Linked DNA regions of Saccharomyces cerevisiae S288C. The gene in region 3 interacts genetically with the main gene of each other region. Each region holds a gene or a part of one and is shown on either strand. Other genes may lie near its edges. The genes, in order: PXP1, MSH4 and TRP3.

The links.
Region 1: mutations in TRP3 (region 3) and PXP1 together harm fitness more than expected from each alone (negative genetic interaction), as found in Saccharomyces cerevisiae (2 studies listed by BioGRID).
Region 2: mutations in TRP3 (region 3) and MSH4 together harm fitness more than expected from each alone (negative genetic interaction), as found in Saccharomyces cerevisiae (2 studies listed by BioGRID).

The regions. Positions count from the first base shown.
Region 1 is NC_001137.3:118,105-122,059, forward strand, and holds PXP1 (putative indolepyruvate decarboxylase family protein), read right to left. Parts: upstream 2,196-3,955; coding exon 513-2,195; downstream 1-512. Other genes in the region: SUMO ligase MMS21, read right to left, coding at 2,394-3,197; EAF5 (Eaf5p), read left to right, coding at 3,367-3,955. UniProt on the Saccharomyces cerevisiae protein: Catalyzes a carbon-carbon cleavage reaction; cleaves a 2-hydroxy-3-methylacyl-CoA into formyl-CoA and a 2-methyl-branched fatty aldehyde.
Region 2 is NC_001138.5:133,926-139,146, reverse strand, and holds MSH4 (MutS family protein MSH4), read left to right. Parts: upstream 1-1,989; coding exon 1,990-4,626; downstream 4,627-5,221. Other genes in the region: YFL002W-B (gag protein), read right to left, coding at 1-943; VTC2 (vacuolar transporter chaperone), read right to left, coding at 4,851-5,221. UniProt on the Saccharomyces cerevisiae protein: Involved in meiotic recombination. Facilitate crossovers between homologs during meiosis.
Region 3 is NC_001143.9:36,121-39,831, reverse strand, and holds TRP3 (bifunctional anthranilate synthase/indole-3-glycerol-phosphate synthase), read left to right. Parts: upstream 1-1,678; coding exon 1,679-3,133; downstream 3,134-3,711. Other genes in the region: E1 ubiquitin-activating protein UBA1, read right to left, coding at 1-669; phosphatidylinositol-3-phosphatase SAC1, read right to left, coding at 3,418-3,711.

The DNA.
Region 1 (3,955 bases), on a different chromosome or scaffold from region 3:
CCTCAAACGTAAAACAATCGAAACGAAAAGAAACAGACTATAGGGGAGTATAGAGACAGCCGGCCAATAAGAAGAGGAAAAAGAAATACTAGCGTTTATCAATGTGGGTCGTTAACATATCCTGTTGACAATGATTACAGGTTAAAAGGTAGCGTAAGTGAATATTAACTATGGATATTCTTATACTTAGATAAGAGACATATAAAACACACGATGATTGATTGATTTTTATGACCAATATATGTAATTCGTAATTCAGATAGTTTTTATACTTTTAATGTGTGCCGAACCATATTACTAGTATATGTAACTACCATGTTATGTTCAATTGGCAGATCTTTAACTCGGCTTTAGTTATCCAAGTTACTTGCAATATTTCCTTCTGCGAGAGTACATTTGCCCTTAAACGTATACGAGGTATTCATTAATGTGTGTTGTAAGTATTTAGATTGACATCTATAAGAGAGATGAACATATATATATATATATATATATATATACATGCATATTTACTATAAACGCGGTTTATTCTGCCAGGCAAAGGCAATTTGCTTTTGTTCGCCAGGCTCAATGATAACGTTGATGACACTTGTTTCTCTTTTAGTCCGAGAAAGCTGCACGGCTTGTTGGAAGCATCTGCTCAGTTCGCTTATTGTGTTGACAAAAAAATCATTGGCACCCAGTCCTTTGCCTACGAGATCGTAACGGCAGTTCTTGCTTAGTGCCGTTGGAGGTAAATCACCCTCTATATCCTTTTCTCCATGGTAAATACCGCTATTGTTCATCACAACGATGACCAATGCCAGCTGACACCTTACTGCCGTTTCAATTTCCATGGCAGAGAATCCAAATGCGGAATCACCCTGAATCAGCACCACATCGAGTTCCGGATGAGATGCCTTGCATGCAAGAGCATATCCGAGCCCAATCCCCATAGTCGCGTTGGTCCCTGCGTCTAAACGGCGCCTTGGAGCGTCTGTAGGGAATGAAATACGCGCAATATCCATAGTATTTGCTCCCTCCGTCACAAGTATTGTCCTGTAATCATCGATAAGAGGCCTCAATGTTCCATAAACCTGGTTGTAATTCAATTGTGCCCCTCTAGTCTTCTCTTTCCTCAATAGACGAGTTTGATTCAGTTGAATTTTCTCTCGTATTTCTTGCTTAACACCACTATACTTCCAGCAGGAATCTTGGCGAGTCAATTCCTCAACTAAAGCGGTTACGCTCAAGCCTATATCTCCCCATATGGAAAGGTCAGCACCAGGTGAGACATTGTTATCCCCCAAGGTTTCGGGATTGGAATCGAACTGGATGAATATGGATTCTGAGTTCCATTTGGGTGAAGTACCAAAATGCAATATCCAGTTTAATCTTGCCCCGAGAACAAGAACAATATCCGCTATTTTCAATGCTTGAGATCTTGCAGATGAAACGTTCAGTGGAGAAGAGTCTGGGACAATTCCCTTAGCCATTGGGGTGGGTAAAAATGGTAGATTGAACGTATTTACTAGTCTGCGGATTTCGTGTGAGTTTTTTACCGCACCCTTTCCAATAACAATCAGAATATTTTTATTTTTATGTTGCAAAATAAGCTGTACGACTTTTTTGATCTTCGACGGATCAGGGCCACATATGTTTGGAGTTAATATCATCGGTAATTCATTTCCTGTACGGTCGTTTCCTTCTAAGGGTTTTTCATACTCAATAAAATCTGCAGGGACGTCTATGTAAGAAACCCCTGCAGTGCCTTGTATACAGTAATTCAAAGCCTTCTGAGTAATCATGTCAATATTGTCAGGGGTTAACTTTCCGGTAAACTTCAAAAATGGGGACAAAAGACTAACTTGATCCAACTCTTGAAACCCGCCTTTATGTATATCACTTTGAGAAGAACTCCCTGCAATTACTAGAAGAGGCCACCTATTACTCATTGAGTTGTATATACCAGCCAGTGCGTGGATTAAACCGGGGCCCCCGACAATAAGTAACACGCCGGGCTTATCACTAATATAACCATAAGCAGAGGCTGCATATGAGGCAGCCTGTTCGTTCCTGCATGGAATGAATTTGATACCGTTGGCAACCATCGTATCCGCTAGTTGGACAATAGGGATGCCCACAATTCCAAAGACTGTGTCGATGCCATATTTTTGTAAAAGTTGAGCGAAGTGTTGGGTAGCGGTCGTGGTCATATTGATGGATGGTTGTGACGGTTTGAATGTAGAGAGTATATTCTTCTTATCACATAAAAGTAACCAATGCCTTTTTTTTCCTTTATATATAATGTGGTTATATACCAACCTTTTGTAAATTTCCAACTTTTTTCTTTAGTTAGCTTTGCTTGAACTTCGGGCCGAAGGGCTCGGATAAGAGAAACAATAATTTTGTTTTCATAAAACATCGATGGCTTGACTACTTCTTTTATCCTGTTCCTGAGATTCTTTCATCTTGGCGATCTTACACCTTAGTTCCATAATAGGGTCTCTTACAAAATCCCTCATTGAAACGACTTGAGAACACGCTGCTTGCGGGCAATCTCTTGTCGTGTATCCTTGTAAATAGTTTTGAATGCCGTCTCTATCGAAGACGTGATTACATTTTCTTGATATCAATGGTGCTTCGTAAGGTTTGCAGGTGATAGGACAAGTCAATTCAATTTTACCACCTTCTATTTGTAGATCGTCTTCGTCTGCGGGGTTTTGCAGATCCGGTATTACACAAGTTGGATCATTCCATATGTACGGCAACACTTTTAGTATCTTGAGTGTATCTGTGTTATTAACCATGGTTGCAGGCTCTGGTGTGGGCATATTTAGATATAATTCAGATAATTTGGGAGCGGTGAGTTCTCCGGTACGATATTTATCCCAGGTAGAAAGGTCGATTTGCGGACAGGCATCTGAGGATTGTTTGAAATTTTTTTTTAAATCTTTAATATGTTCGTCAAATGAGTTGGATTCCGATTCGTATGTCGAGAGGAGTTTGTAGGTGCTAGTAATATCTGCGACCTGCTCTTCAATGCCGATGGTGGAAGGAGATGTAGAATCCACTAATTGATTTATGGTCTCATCAATTTGTTTGTAGCATTGTTGATATATATTTGATAAGTCTCGGGCATGTAAATTATGGAAGTACTTACCTGATTTTGGGTGTAGAGGAACTGACTTGGGTATAGGATTATCGTTCAAGGCCATTTTTAAAGTTATTCTTTTTTTATATAGTCTTGCCTTGGTTTCTTTAACTGACACGATTATTTTAGCAAGTTTTTTTCTACACAGGAAAAGAGGAAGAAAATAACCAGAGAAGCACTGGTAAAAAGATACTTCTGCGTGCCGGAGTAACCAGAATCAAAGGAACGCATAGATGGATAAAGAGGTAAGTGAATTGGTAGTGTTGCAGCTAATACACACTTTAATTTCCAACAAGAATGAAGAACTGGTTAGGAACGGGGGAGGAATCAACATGATTGGGAATAATCTTCGAATATCGCTAGTCAAGTTGACTAACGAAATACAAAACAATTTGCTAATCAACGAGCTGACAAATTTAAGAAGGCAAAGCAACGTGGCAAATGGAAACAGGAAACTGGGCATCAACGATATCCTGACCATAGTTAAGAATTTATTCCCAGAGTACAGAACAACACTAAACGATGGACAACTTAGTCTACACGGTTTGGAAATGCATGATATCGAGAAGCTCCTTGACGAAAAGTACGATCGATTCAAGAAAACGCAGGTCGAACAAATAAGGATGATGGAGGATGAGATATTGAAGAACGGTATAAAGACCGGTGCATCGCAACTGCAACCACATGCAAATGCTGGCAAAAGTGGATCTGCTGGTACCAGTGCTACTATAACTACGACTACGCCACACATGGCGCATTCAATGGACCCAAAAAGAGAAAAACTATTGAAATTATACAGAGATACCGTTCTGAATAAATTGG
Region 2 (5,221 bases), on a different chromosome or scaffold from region 3:
CGGATAGACCTTTAAGTATTAGTTGACAGGCCAATCTGTCGCTAACATTGATATTGTTTTCTTTTAGCCTCTGAATGATCGTACTGACTGTAATTTCAAATGTATCAGCAGATGTACTTCCGTCGTACTCAAGGTTGGCAAGAGCTATCCAATCCTTTAATTCTTGATTGTTAGTTTGCATTTTGGACACACTTTTACAAAGGACTGTAAGGATGTCAGCATAATTAATTTCTAAAATTTGTTTTACCCATGTTGGCAATAAATGAAATGGGGCAAATGCTTGGAAGGTATTGTATATATACGCATGTTCTTCATAAGTCATTTGACTTTTGATTTCACCCTGGTCATTTGGAATGATGTCACCGAGATTAGAGTTCTTCAAAAATCTGATGTAAAATTTAACCCATGTAGAAAAGTTTTCTTCTGATGTTAAAGTGTGTGGTGGTAAGACGTTATTTCTCACCTTTGTCTCAGCTTGAGGTACTTCAGAGTGTTGATTCTGTGAATCGATTGGATCAGGTGAGGAAGTACTCAGTGGTGGGATATACTGTGGCAACGGATAGTGTGGGTCCGGTTGATAATACGCAGGTGACGTTTGATAATGTGAACACGTCATCATAGACGGTTGTTGGTAATGTGCCCAGTTAGAGGCCATAGCTTTGTTTGGGGTCATCATGCCGTGCTGTTGGTACTGTCCATTCTGTGGAGGTGGTACTGAAGCAGGTTGAGGAGAGACATGATGATGGTTCTCTGGAACAGCTGATGTCCCAGGTGTTGTCTCTTGTTGAGAATTAACCTTAGTGGAATCTCTATCAAATTCCGGTAAATTGGAAGCTGAAACGGCTAACGGATCTTGATTTGATGGGACTTCCTTAGAAGTAACCGAAGCATAGGCGCTACCATGTAGAGAATGTGGATTTTGATGTAATTGTTGGGATTCCATTTTTGATAAGGCAATAATATTAGGTATGTAGATATACTAGAAGTTCTCCTCGAGGATTTAGGAATCCATAAAAGGGAATCTGCAATTCTACACAATTCTATAAATATTATTATCATCATTTTATATGTTAATATTCATTGATCCTATTACATTATCAATCCTTGCGTTTCAGCTTCCACTAATTTAGATGACTATTTCTCATCATTTGCGTCATCTTCTAACACCGTATATGATAATATACTAGTAACGTAAATACTAGTTAGTAGATGATAGTTGATTTTTATTCCAACATATACAGAATATGCTAGAAGTTCTCCTCGAGGATTTAGGAATTCTCAAAATGGAATCCATATTTCTACATACTAATGTTAGACTATTCCGTTTTATATGTTTCATTATCCTATTACATTATCAATCCTTGCATTTCAGCTTCTTCTAACTTCGATGACAGCTTCTCATAACTTATGTCATCATCTAACACTGTATATGATAATATATTGAATAACTATTAGTTGATAGATGATAGTGGATTTTTATTCCAGAGGTTTGCGATGCCTTTGAGAAATCAGGATTGTTTTGGTATGGGATGACATTGTTTTACGTAGTCTATTCCGTTTTAAGAGTTGCAGAACTCAAAAGTGACTGACTCCATGGCCAAGTTGGTTAAGGCGTGCGACTGTTAATCGCAAGATCGTGAGTTCAACCCTCACTGGGGTCGTTTTTTTATTCAAAATCAGTTTCTAAGATTTAGATTTTATTGTATCATATCTTTTTCCATACTGAAATCGATTAAAGTTTTTATGTGTTGCATCTGTATGAGAGCAAAATCTTATTTAGTCTCCTCTTTTCTGCTATGAACCAGTTTATTATTTTTTTTTAATTCGCGTCTTCATTTCCTTTTCAAATCCCGAACGTACAGCTTTCATACATATAAGGCATCAACGAAGAATAGCAAAAGAGCAGTTGGATTTTACTTAAAGTGAAACATATAAAAATAACTAGTTATAGCATTGAAATCTGTAGCTGATCAACGCAAACTATATGCAATGAGTGAATCTAATCTATCTAGTTTTATCAGTACAAATTATTTCAATTTAAGGTCGGCGGCTAATTCTTCAAACTCTATTTCGAAGCCAAGTACGAAAAAGAGTATCAGGAACCAAAAATCGCCAACTAACATAAGTAGTTGGGCTCTCAAAAAGAAAACGCTACAAATAGCAGAGACAACATGGGAAAACAATGAAAAAGATTCAACACATAGCCATTACTTAATGACTGGATCAATGGCCTCTAGGACCGCAACCTCCTTAAGTCGATACAGCACCAACGCTTCACTCCTCGGTCCTAGTATTGACTGTGTTCTTTGTTGCATATACGAAGTGCCAAGAGACATAAGTACGCGGATTGGGTTATGTATTATCAACTGTAACACGGGACAGATGTATCTTTCAGATTTCATGGATTCACAAATTTACATTCGTGTAGTTCATAAACTCCAAATTTACCAACCTACGGAAATACTGATTCCAAGCAGTTCTCTAGCTCCAACAGTATCAAAATTAGCGACAATGATAAAATTTAATGTGGCCGAGACAGTTAAAATTGAAGAGGGTTCACGAAAGTGCTTCAATAGCCAAGATGGACTGGCGGCGATTACAAAGTATTTAATGGATGATACAAAAAAGGACTTGAAAATCGAGGAGATTATAGATAAAACGTTTGCTCTTTGTGCTGCATCTGCTGCGATAAGCTACATGGAAGAGATTATATCCAAAAGCAGCCGAAATTTGAATGCGTTTCGAAAACTACGTATACAGTTTGAAGGAACAGAAAATACAATGCTGATTGATTCTAAAACCGTCAGAGGTTTAGAACTTGTAGAAAATAAATTGGATAAGAATGGCATATCACTATGGAAGTTCTTGGATACCACGTCCACTAAAATGGGACAAAGATCACTTCGGAACAGTATACTGCAGCCATTAACTGATAGGGGCAGTATCGAAATGAGACTAGAGGCCCTAGAAGAATTGAAAGCCAATGATGACCTTCTACAAAAATTAAGGCTAGAAATGAAATCATTGCCTGATCTAGATAAGTTATTTTCAAGGTTATTATGCATTAATCATTCTGCAATAAAACCTGACCAAAGAATTAATTACGTTTTGTTGCTAAAGGAAACTTTACAAAGCGTGAAGTCATTGAAAGACGCACTTAATGATCAGTTAATTCAAAGCCGTTTAATTAGCGAGACCAAAAAAATATTCAATAATGACGCAATTATGGAAATTGAAAAATTAATTAATAGTTGTATAAATGAAGACTGTGTCTGGGCATCCTCAGCTATACAACTACTTAACCAACGTTCATATGCTGTGAAAAGTGATTCCAATGGGCTTTTGGATGTTTCTAGACAAATCTACAAAGAGGTAAAAGAGGAATTTTTTCGTGAGGTAGAAGATCTTACCGCTAAAAACAAAATCAATTTAGATCATAATTACGATTCTGCACGAGGCTTTTATCTCAGAATAAAAAGACAGGAATTTACCGATGACGTCGCTACACTTCCAGACGTATTCATTTCAAGAACAATAAAAAAAAATTATATTGAATGTACAACCCTAAATATAATAAAAAAAAATGCGAGGTTGAAGGAAGTTATGGAAGAGATTTTACTTTTAAGTGAAGAGACAGTTGATGAACTGCTCGATAAAATTGCAACCCATATTTCTGAACTATTTATGATTGCAGAAGCAGTGGCTATCCTGGATTTGGTTTGTTCATTCACATATAATTTGAAAGAAAATAATTACACAATACCGATTTTTACAAACAATCTACTAATTCGAGATTCAAGACACCCACTACTTGAAAAGGTACTAAAAAATTTTGTCCCTAACACCATATCAAGTACAAAACATAGCTCCAGCTTACAAATCATAACCGGATGCAACATGAGTGGAAAATCTGTTTATTTAAAACAAGTTGCCCTTATTTGCATAATGGCCCAAATGGGATCAGGTATACCGGCACTTTATGGGTCTTTTCCTGTCTTTAAACGTCTACATGCAAGAGTCTGCAATGACAGTATGGAATTAACCTCATCAAATTTTGGTTTTGAAATGAAAGAAATGGCTTACTTTTTAGATGACATAAATACAGAAACACTGTTAATTTTAGATGAACTTGGTCGTGGTTCAAGCATCGCTGATGGGTTTTGTGTGTCTTTGGCAGTAACTGAACATTTACTTCGAACGGAGGCAACGGTATTTCTTTCTACACACTTCCAGGACATTCCTAAAATAATGTCTAAGAAGCCAGCAGTTTCCCATCTTCATATGGATGCAGTCCTTCTCAATGACAATTCTGTCAAAATGAATTATCAGTTGACCCAGAAATCTGTCGCAATAGAGAATAGTGGAATAAGGGTGGTAAAAAAAATATTCAACCCGGATATTATTGCAGAAGCGTACAATATCCATTCGCTTTTGAAAATTGCAAAAGCAAGGACTGAAAACGAAGATTCAAATGGCGTTGTTGATCAAAAGACCATAAACCAAATGAAGAGAATACACAATCTTGTAGCGATATTGAAAGAATGTGCAGGAAATGAAAAAGAGCCCTTGACTTTAGGGAAATTAAAAGAAATAAACTCCGACTTCATCGAAAATTTTGAAGAATAATTTGGCTTTTCCGCTTAGCTTAAAACTATAATCCATTATTTCTGTACAGAGTTATCAAAAACCGGAGAAAATGATGTTTATGTAAATGCATTGATATTTATGAATGATTTAAAACTTCCCCTTAAATGTGATTTCTAAAAGTAAGCAATTGTTAGCAGATGATAATTTTTTGCTACACATTACAAACATAAAAACACATGGTCTCAGTAGATAGAGTACATATTCTAATCACTGCTTGGCCCCATTAACTTGAATAGATAATTTTGAAGTGGCCTTAATACTTCTGGTATTCTTTCAGGAACTTCTAAATTCTGTATTTGCAACTCTTGACGAGACTTTGCTGCATTTCTAAACGCCATAACAAAATTAACCACTAAAGTGACAAATAAAACTATAGAAACCAAAACTGGACCAAGTGGTGCATCTAGATGTTGACCGCTTCTTTGTTGAATAATATCAACTCTTTTCATATAAATGGAATAGGACCATAAAGCACAGAATATCGTTAGACCAAAATATACGTATGCCATGTAGTTAGCCAAAGTGGGGTATTCGGCTTTCTTCACAGAATTATAAATTGAGAACGTCAAAACAC
Region 3 (3,711 bases):
ATTCAACTTATCAAGACCTTCTACTTCGGAGAACCTGACAAAATTTCCGTCTTCCAACCCGTGTCTGTTATCATCTAGCATGGTCACTGTTCCATCGGGCTCGATGTCTGAAACCATACCAGTGCGAGGTTCTTCACCCGTTGGGTCCAACACTGTGAACTCGTCACCTAGGTCTACGAAGGTGTTACCAAACAGCCCTCTTGTCTCCGAGGAAATGAATCTAATACCGGAGGAATGGCAAAATTCGTTGATTTTCACCTTATCTTCCAAAGAAACAGTGTCCGTAGCGACAACGACCTGGAATTGACTCAATTGGGTAACATCGTCTAAGGAATCCAGCACATTAACCGGGACATATGCGTTCAACTCTGCCAATTTGGCTCTGGTCACATCTCCTCTCTTTTGACCAATATCCTTTTCGGTCAAAAAGAATTGGGTTGATAAGTCTGCCAATTGAACCGGCTCAGGGTCAAAAACGGTCATAGATTTGACACCTGCCAACACAACGTTCTTCGCTATCTCAACACCTAGCCCCTTCAAGCCGAGAATTAATACGTTGGAGGTTTGCATTTTCAACATTGCTTCCTTACCCAACACATAAAGTTGACGAGAATAAAGACTTTCATCGATTTCTCCGGCGGCAGAGAGACCACTATTATTGCTGCTCATAGCTATAGTTATATGTTCTTTGCTTTGCTACTAATCTTACTTTTTGTTTGCTTATATCCAGCGATTGGCGGTTGCTCATCCTACTTAAAGGCCCTTTTTGATCATTTTCTTTTACCTTTATTTGCCACCCGCACCTTTTGTCACACTACACGAGAATATGCCGCATGGAAGCGTAATGGCAATTCAAGAAAGAGCTCTAATATTATTTACAATCACATGAATACAAGATCATAGCTTAACAAGGAGTGGATAGTCAGTAAAGGCGCCCTAAGCTCTACTAAAAACTGGGCTTTAAAAGATGTTCCTCGTCACTTGAGAATCTGTTGTCCCTATCTGGTTCCTCATCATACAATCCACTCCATCGTTTCTCCCACCCTACTACAAACTAGTGAGGCGAACGAGAAAATAAGAAACACTAAGGCTCGCTTTTCCTGCTGGACAGAGACATGCATTAGTGTTTGTTGTTCTCGCGCCAGTCGCTGTTTTTGCTTGCAAGTGCGACGTCCTCTTCTTCTTCTTCTTCTTTCTTCTTTGAGATGCGTAACAACACAACTACATTTTGTATTTTCCTCCCTTTTATACTCCTCCGCTGGAGTATTTTTTCGTATTTTTCACTTTTTTTGCTTCTTATAGGCCTTTTTGAACTATTTTCTGTTAGGGCTTAAAGAAAGCGCAGCAAATGGCTGATTTTAAATGCTGTTTTCTCGAAAGCAATGCTGATGATGTACCACAAAGTAGTATTTGCGCTTAGCTTGTCGATATAAGTATGCCTTTGAGCCAGTATTAAACTTCCTACTATCTCTTCTGGACCTCACCGTGCTATTCATATCACTGACGACGGAAAATGCCTCTTGTAGTAATCATTGAATGATCATCAATGGCTCGTTGACTCATTCTAATCTATAGCAGATATTAAGGTACGCAAAAAGTTCGACAAGGAGCTGGTCAGTATTAACACATTACCAAATCTGTTTGGTTCTACATAGAACGCCATAAAAGTAAGAAAAAAATGTCTGTGCACGCTGCAACAAACCCAATCAATAAGCATGTGGTTCTAATTGACAACTACGATTCCTTTACCTGGAACGTTTACGAGTACTTGTGCCAGGAGGGCGCCAAAGTGAGCGTCTACCGTAACGATGCAATTACAGTTCCAGAAATTGCCGCCTTGAATCCCGACACATTGCTTATCTCGCCTGGACCAGGCCACCCAAAGACAGATTCTGGCATTTCAAGAGACTGTATCCGGTACTTTACTGGGAAAATTCCTGTATTTGGAATCTGTATGGGCCAGCAATGCATGTTTGACGTATTTGGTGGTGAAGTTGCCTACGCTGGTGAGATTGTCCACGGTAAAACGTCCCCAATCTCTCACGACAACTGTGGAATTTTCAAGAACGTGCCGCAAGGTATTGCTGTGACAAGATACCATTCATTGGCCGGGACAGAATCGTCCCTACCATCCTGCTTGAAGGTTACTGCGAGTACCGAAAATGGAATTATCATGGGTGTAAGACACAAGAAGTACACTGTAGAAGGTGTGCAATTTCATCCGGAATCCATCTTGACCGAGGAAGGTCATCTGATGATCAGGAACATTTTAAACGTCAGTGGAGGCACTTGGGAGGAAAACAAATCATCTCCTTCAAATTCTATTTTGGACCGTATCTATGCTCGGCGTAAAATAGACGTCAATGAGCAGTCTAAAATCCCAGGTTTCACCTTTCAAGACTTACAATCTAACTATGATTTAGGTCTTGCCCCACCGTTACAGGATTTCTACACGGTGTTGTCATCATCCCATAAAAGAGCCGTTGTTCTTGCTGAAGTCAAGCGTGCCTCTCCATCGAAGGGACCCATTTGTTTAAAAGCTGTTGCTGCTGAACAGGCTCTCAAATACGCAGAGGCTGGTGCATCCGCAATTTCCGTATTGACCGAACCTCATTGGTTTCACGGTTCGTTACAGGATTTAGTAAATGTGAGGAAAATCCTAGATTTGAAATTTCCTCCCAAGGAGAGGCCTTGTGTTTTGAGAAAAGAATTTATTTTCAGCAAGTATCAAATACTAGAAGCAAGATTAGCTGGAGCTGACACTGTCCTTCTTATAGTCAAGATGCTATCTCAACCCTTATTGAAGGAACTGTACAGCTACAGTAAAGATTTGAACATGGAACCTCTCGTTGAGGTGAACTCCAAAGAGGAATTACAAAGGGCTCTAGAAATTGGTGCTAAAGTTGTAGGTGTCAATAATAGGGACCTGCATTCATTCAACGTAGACCTAAATACCACCAGTAACTTGGTAGAATCTATTCCAAAGGATGTTCTTCTAATTGCTCTATCGGGAATTACCACCAGGGACGATGCTGAAAAATACAAAAAAGAAGGTGTCCATGGATTTTTAGTGGGTGAAGCCCTAATGAAATCAACCGATGTGAAGAAGTTCATTCATGAATTATGCGAATAATTGAAACTTACACGGTACAATAGGGAAAAAAACTTAACGTTGTAAGGGCGAACGCCTTCATGTATAGTAGCCTATAGAAGATATATATATATATATATATATATATATATGACCATGAAAGATAAAGTAAAAAAGAAAATAAATAGCTTGTTCTTCCCTCTGGGGCCGGCGTTCATTTTTTTATTTTTTTATTTTTTAACTTACTTTTTTTCTCGTTTTTATCATATTTTCGGTTTTACGTTTTGGATTTACAATAATCATCATTTTATCACATATAGAACTCATTAATCTCTTTTTAAAGGATCCGGCTTGGAAAATTTAGGACTCTGTGCATATTTCAAACCTTTGAATTGTTGTTCTTTATCATGCGTTTGATGAACGACCAAGAACCCAACGTCTACTAACTTAGGCCAGTTGACAAACTGAATACCGTTCTTAAACATGAATTTGGTTGAAAGCGCCAAGACAATCGACGCACCTGCAAAATACAGCAAATTCTTACTGCTGGTAAATCTATCTTTAGGAAAAAATATCGTAGCACCTAAAACGGTCAAGGCTGCGCAAATGATCATTGGGAT